2 linked regions of the Macaca mulatta genome follow. The protein of the gene in region 2 interacts with the protein of the main gene of each other region in a pairwise test. Links are inferred from orthologs where the notes say so. Each region holds a gene or a part of one and is shown on either strand. Other genes may lie near its edges.

What was found.
Region 1: the proteins of TRIP6 (region 2) and OIP5 interact in binary tests that used the Homo sapiens proteins (3 or more experiments, as listed by UniProt). The two-hybrid records come from large-scale screens. The link is inferred for Macaca mulatta from reciprocal best matches to the Homo sapiens genes TRIP6 and OIP5.

The regions. Positions count from the first base shown.
Region 1 is NC_133412.1:18,677,181-18,681,541, reverse strand, and holds the start of OIP5 (protein Mis18-beta), read left to right. Parts: upstream 1-1,341; 5' UTR 1,342-1,388; coding exon 1,389-1,710; exon of another isoform or gene 1,711-1,794; intron 1,795-1,968; coding exon 1,969-2,035; intron 2,036-4,361. Other genes in the region: NUSAP1 (nucleolar and spindle-associated protein 1), read right to left, coding at 900-992. UniProt on the Homo sapiens protein: Required for recruitment of CENPA to centromeres and normal chromosome segregation during mitosis.
Region 2 is NC_133408.1:48,081,950-48,084,652, reverse strand, and holds the end of TRIP6 (thyroid receptor-interacting protein 6), read right to left. Parts: intron 2,597-2,703; coding exon 2,418-2,596; exon of another isoform or gene 1,837-2,417; intron 1,511-1,836; coding exon 1,390-1,510; intron 1,018-1,389; exon of another isoform or gene 959-1,017; coding exon 827-958; coding exon of another isoform or gene 817-826; 3' UTR 676-816; downstream 1-675. UniProt on the Homo sapiens protein: Relays signals from the cell surface to the nucleus to weaken adherens junction and promote actin cytoskeleton reorganization and cell invasiveness. Involved in lysophosphatidic acid-induced cell adhesion and migration.

The sequences.
Region 1 (4,361 bases), on a different chromosome or scaffold from region 2:
CTGTCACCGAGGTTGGAGTGCAGTGGGTGCGATCTTGGCTCACTGCCACCTTGGCTTCCCAGGTTCAGGCGATTCTCCTGCCTCAGCCTCCCGAGTAGCTGGGATCACAGGCGAGTAGCTGGGATCACAGGCGTGTGCCACCACGCCCGGCTAATTTTTTAATGGCCAGGCTGGTCTCGAAATCCTGACCTCAGGTGATCCAACTACCTTGGCCTCCCAAAGTGTTGGGATTACAGGCATGAGTCACCGCGCCCGGCCAATTCCCCTAACATCTTGTAGCCTCGGAGTCAAAGACCTTACTGGTTTTGATAGATACCATCACCACAACAGTCATCAATAAGCACATGAGTATACTAGATCAGGGCTGAGTTATAAAAATTTACCCAAGGAGGTGGTCCCCTAAAAGTAGATTTTTTCTTTCCCCCTGACAGGTCCATCAATAAAGTATCAAGAGATTATCGGCAATATTACAAATCACTGAAGTCTGTGTGGGGTTTTCTAGAAGCTGAGCCAATTATTTACTTAATTGTCTAACGATTAACGACACCCCTTCTGCTTTCTGGGCCTGCGTTTCGTAATCGATGACCTGAGAGGTATAAAGTAATTTCAAAAAAAAAAAAAAAACCACAAAAAACGAAAAACAACAAACCACCCCTCGGAACAGAGGCTTATCATGTGAGCACCCAGACAAGCCAGCTTCAAAATGAGGTGAAAACTACAGTTCCTCTTCCGTTTATCAGAGTTCTAACTGGGACCACCGTGAACCACATCTACTGCCCGAGGGGCAGGGACGGCTGCTTCAGTCCCCGGGCTTCCCGCTCGGTCCCTTCGCACCGCATCTCCCTGAGGCCGCTACTCCCGCCGCGCCCGCCCAGGGAACTGCCCCGCCAGCGTCGTACCCGCAGGTTGGCTCGGAGACCCAGACTCTTGGCTAAGTTCTGCAGGTCACTGTACTTGAGGGAGTCCAGCTCCTCTAGGGAGGGGATGATCATCGCGATTCAAAATCCCGGTGATACTCAGAAGATGGATCACCAAGTCTCGTAAGCGAGGTTCAAATCCCTGGCGCCACTCTTAACTTTGACTAAGCTGAAATTTATAGACAGTTTAAATGAAGAATGCCGCGCTTCCATTGGTTGAAAATGCCTCAAAGGCGGGGTTTCTAACCCTGACCAATAGAAAGGCTGATTTCCCGTCCCAACAGTCGCGCGCTTTTCTCACACTTCACGAATACGCAGGCGCCGAAGGGCCTGTAAGGCCGGTTCAGGTAACGAGTGCGCGGACTGGGACTCCAGTGCTTGGATTGCCCACGATGTCCAATGAGGACGCAGGAGCTGTGCTTGGGGCGGGGCCTGGCGTGTATTCGAAACGACGGCGCCGGCTGAGAGAAGATGGCGTTTCAGCCGCGGCGGCATCGCTCCCCTTGTGCAACGCCGCCCCAGGGTGACTTTTGTGATGGCACTGAGAGGGCGATTGACGAAGCATCTTTTACGACCTCCATGGAGTGGGATACACAGGTGGTGAAGGGGTCCTCGCCGCTCGGCCCCGCAGGGCTGGGGGCTGAGGAGCCGGCCGCCGTCTCGCAGCTGCCGTCTTGGCTGCAGCCTGAGAGGTGCGCTGTTTTCCAGTGCGCACAATGCCACGCCGTGCTCGCCGACTCGGTGCACCTCGCCTGGGACCTGTCGCGGTCCCTTGGGGCCGTGGTCTTCTCCAGTGAGTGCAGTGAGGCGTTCGGGAAAGGCAGAGGCTAGCCCGAGAGGTTGTTCCCGCCTTCTCCACCGGGTGGCAGAGAACCACCTGGGGAAGAAAACGGAATGAAAATTTGGAAGCACATAACTCCTTGGCCTGGGGATGGGGCAGGGAACTGGGGAGTCTCCTGACATTTATGGCGGGGATGAGTCTGTCTAGAGGAGAGATTTTCCATTTCAAGGCCCGCAGAGTATGAGTTCTGACCCGTGTTTGTGTTCCTAGGAGTTACAAATAACGTCGTTTTGGAAGCGCCCTTCCTAGTTGGCATTGAAGGTTCACTCAAAGGCAGGTACGTATTGATAATTACAGATTGGTCTCTAGTCCCTGACTTTATGAGACTGAGGAGCGTGGAACTGACATGTACTTGTTGAGCAAGTCTGTTGACAGCATTTCCTTTTTTTTTGTTGGTTTGATTTTTTTCTTTTTGAGATGGAGCCTCACTCTGTTGCCCAGGCTGGAGTGCGGTGGCGCGATCTCGGCTCACTGCAAGCTCTGCCTCCCAGGTTCACACCATTCTGCCTCAGCCTCCCGAGTAGCTGGGAAGGCATGTGAAGTCATGCCAAATTGTGAATATGAAGAAAAAAATGGGGCCGGGCGCGGTGGCTCACGCTTGTAATCCCAGCACTTTGGGAGGCTGAGGTGGGTGGATCACATGAGGTCAGGAGTTCAAGACCAACCTGACCAACATGGTGAACCCCCGTCTCTACTAAAAATACAAAATTAGCCGGGCATGGTGGCACACACCTGTAATTCCAGCTCTTTGGGAGGCTGAGGCAGGAGAATCACTTGAACCCGGGAGGCAGAGGTTGCAGTGCACTGAGAACACACCATTGCACTCCAGCTTGGGCAGCAAGAGCAAAACTCCATCAAACAAACAAATACATGGAAATTAAAAGTGCTACTCCAGTTATAAGCTGATATGGAGGAAGTTTGAGTGGTATGAGTAGAAGATCAAACCAGCCACAGCATTCCTTTAAACCAAAGCCTAATCCAGAACAAGGCCCTAACTCTCTTCAATTCTGTGAAGGCTGAGAGGTGAGGAAGCTGCAGAAGTTTGAAAGTAGCAAATGTTGGCTAGGTGCAATGGCTCATGCCTGTAGCCCCAGCACTTTGGGAGGCCGAGGTGGGTGGATTGCTTGAACCCAGGAGTTTGAGACCAGCCTGGGCAACATGGTGAAATGCTGTCTCTACAAAATACAAAACAATTTAGCCGGATGTGGTGGTGCACACCTATAGTCCCAGCTGCTTGGGAGGCTGAGAAGGAAGGCTGGCTTGAGCCATAGAGGTCGAGGCTACAGTGGAGCTGTGATTGTGCCACCACACTCCAGCCGGGGTGACAGAGCAAGACTATCTAAAAAAAAAAACAGAGGTTGGTTCTTGAGATTTAAGGAAAGAAACCTTCTCTATAACAAAAGTCCAAAGTGAAACAGCAAGTACTGATGCAGAAGCTGCAGAAAATGAAAGTGGGTACACTAAACAACAGATTTTCAGTGCAGATGAAACAGCCTTCTATTGGAAGAAGATGCCATCTCAGACTTTCATAGGTAGAAAGGACAAGTATTACCTGGCTTGAAAGGAGCTGGTCACAGTGACTCACACGTGTAATCCCAGCACTTTGGGAGACCAAGGTGGGAGGATTGCTTGAGCATAGGAGTTCAAGACCAGCCTGGGCAACATAGCAAGAACCGATCTCTACAAAACATTTAAAAATTAGATGGGCATTATAGTGTGCACCTGTGGTCCAGCTAATTGGAAGGCTGAGGTGGGAGGATCACTTGAGTCTGGGATGTCAAGGCTGTAGTGAGCTGTGATGGTACCACTGTACTCCATCCAAAAAAAAGAAAAAAAAAAGCTTCAAAGGACAGGCTTTCTCTCTTGTTAGGGGCCAATGCAGCTGATGACTTTAAGTTGAAGTCAATGCTCATTTACTGTTACTATCTATAGCTACTATAGATAGTTATTCCTCTGATGGATATGGGCAAAGTAAATTGAAAACCTTCTGGAAACCCAGCTAAATTTTGTATTTTTAGTAGAGACGGAGTTTCACCATGTTGACCAGGCTGTTCTCAAACTCCTGGTCTCAGGTGATCTGCTCGCCTCCCAAAATGCTCAGATTATAAGCGTGAGCCATTGCGCCCGGCCCAGTAAATTAATTTCCACTGACACATTTGTTTATAAGTACTGTGCTTTGTCTGAACTAATTAATTCCTACGTGGAATTTCAAATTAATGACACTTTATTTCACAGTTTGCTTTTTGGTTACCTATATTCACAAGATTACTATATGTGTGGTGTGGGACTTCATTTACCAATAAACCTAATATATTTTGTTATTTGTTCTTTTTTAGTATCCATTGACATGAATATTTCTTTTTAGCTATGTGTTTTTTGTTTTTTTTTTTTCTTTTTTAAGACGGAGTTTTGCTCTTGTCGCCCAGGCTGGAGTGCAATGGCACAATCTCCGCTCACTGCAACCTCCGCCTCCCCGGTTCAAGCGATTCTCCTGCCTCACCCTCCTGAGTAGCTGGGATTACAGGCACCCACCACCATGCCTGGCTAATTTTTGTATTTTTAGTAGAGACAGGGTTTCACCATGTTGGCCAGGCTGGTCTTGA
Region 2 (2,703 bases):
GCAGACAGTGGCTGGGCGCGGTGGCTCACGCCTGTAATCCCGACACTTTGGGAGGCCGAAGCGGGCAGATCACTTGAGGTCAGGAGTTTGAGACCAGCCTGACCAACGTGGTGAAACTCCATCTCTACCAAAAATACAAAAATTGGCTGGGCGCGGTGGCTCACACCTGTAATCCCAGCACTTTGGGAGGCCGAGGTGGGTGGATCACGATGGTCAAGACCATCCTAGCTAACACAGTGAAATCCTGTCTCTACTAAAAATACAAAAAATTAGCTGGGCATGGTGGTGGGTGCCTATAGTCCCAGCTACCCGGGAGGCTGAGGCAGGAGAATGGTGTGAACCTGGGAGGCGGAGCTTCCAGTGAGCCGAGATTGTACCACTGTACTCCAGCCTGGGTGACAGAGCAAGACTCCATCTCAAAAAAATAAACAAATAATTAGCCAGGCATGGTGGCAGGCGCCTGTAAACCCCGCTATTCGAGAAGCTGAGGCAAGAGAATCACTTGAACCCGGGAGGCGGAGGTTGCAGTGAGCCAAGATGGCATCACTGCACTCCAGCCTAGGTGACAGAGCCAGACTCCGTCTCAAAAAAAAAAGAAAAAAAATGCAGGTAGTAACAACAACTGGGCTTGTAATGGGCTACTGGGAGAATCAGATAAGACAGCAGACTTGGAAGTGTTTTGTAAACTCGAGGGATTATTATTTCTTGATTGGAGAAAGAGGAGACAGCATTTGGTGATGAAGTCATACAGGTGGATGTCAGGGAGGGTGATCAATCGAAGGATGGGAACTGGAACTGAGAACCCAGCAGGTACTTCTAGGAAGACTCAGCAGTCAGTGGTGACGGTGGCTGAGAGCTCCTGGATGCGCCAGGCGCTGCAGGCCTTGCATAAGATGTGCCCATCCAGCGGGTAGCAGCCCTGACACTCGCCCTCAGAGGAGAGCAGCAGCCCACACTCCTGTTGAAAAAGAAGCAACAATTGGCCGGGTGCGGTGGCTCACACCTGTAATCCCAGCACTTTGAGAAGCCGAGGCGGGTGGATCACAAGGTCAGGAGTTCGAGACCAGCCTGGCCAATATGGTGAAACCCTGTCTCTACTAATACAAAAATCAGCCAGGCGTGGTGGCCAGCACCTGTCATCCCAGCTACTCAGGAGGCTGAGGCAGGAGACTTGCCTGAACCCGGGAGGTGGAGGTTGCAGTGAGCCAAGATCGTGTCACTGCACTCCAGCCTGGGCCACAGATCGAGACTCCATCTCAAAAAAAAAAAAAGAAAGAAAGAAAGAAGCAACAGATTTCCATCAGCCCCAGATCTCTGTGTTCCCCGTCTCGTGCTCTACCCAGCACCGCAGACACTGCCAGCCCCTTGCACGTGCTGGGGGCCCCTGACCTCACACTTGTAACAGCCAATGTGAAAACTTCGATCCAGAGCAACAATTCTCACAGTCTCCTCCTGACCTGGCTCAGGCATTATGGCCCCACCGCACACTGAGCATCTTGGGGCAAACTTCCTGCGGGGGAAGAGAACCAAGAAGGCCATCAAGCCTTGGGGTTGCAGGGCACCAACAATGGAACCCAGAGAAGGTGGGGCATAGGAGGGATTCAGGGAGGCCAGAGGTATGACCTTAGGTCTTGGGGAAGGGATGATGTCAAAGAGAATGAGAGAGGCTAGGTGCAGTGGCTCTAGCCTGTAATGCCCCCACTTTGGGAGGCCAAGGCAGGAGGATTACTTGATGCCAGGCGTTCAAGACCAGCCTAGGCAACACAGCAAGACCATGTCTTTATTAAAAAACAGAAGAAGACTGGGTGCAGTGGCTCACGCCTGCAATCCCTGCACTTTGGGTGGCCGAGGCAGGTGGATCGCTTGAGCTCAGGAGTTTGAGACCAGCTTGGCCAACATGATGAAACCCTGTCTCTACAAAAAATACAAAAAAAAAAAAAATTAGCAAGGCGTGGTAGCACACGCCTGTAATCCCAGCTACTCAGGAGGCTGAGGCAGGTGAATCACTTGAACCCAGGAGGCAGAGGTTGCAGTGAGCTGAGATCCTGCCACTGCACTCCAGCTTGGGTGACAGAGCGAGACTCCATCTCAAAAAAAAAAAAAAAAAAAGCTAACAAAAAACGAAGAAAACTAGCCAGGCATGGTGGCGTGTGCACCTGTAGTCCCAGATACTCAGGAGGCTGAGGTGGGAGGATCACTTGAGCCCAGGAGTTGGAGGCTGCAGTGAGCTATGATCATTTGCCATTGCACTCCAGCCTGGGCAACAGAGTGAAACTCTTGTCTCTAAAAAATAACAATAACAAAGAATGAAGGAGGGCCAGGGGTGGGAAACAGGGAGAGACAGTCCTGGGGCATGAAGAGATGAAAGAGACAGGAAAGGTCAGACATTGTGAGACGAGGTGGAGCCTGGGCCTGACCTGTGAAAGTCCTCAATGCAGTGGATCTGGCTCGTAGCATCCACCGTGAAGGGGATGCCGTCGAGGCCACGGTGACACACCACGCAGGTGAAGCAGCCAGGGTGGTAGGCTTTCCCCATAGCCCGCAGGATCCGGTCCAGGATGGGCTGGGAGCACGTGGCACATTTCTCCAGGGTGGCCTGTTGGGAAGGAAGGCAGGAAGGTCTGGGAGCAGGCGGGAGCCATGGCAGCACAACAGGCACCCCAGCAACCCAGCCATCTAATTTCTGCAGCCCCCTGCATGTAA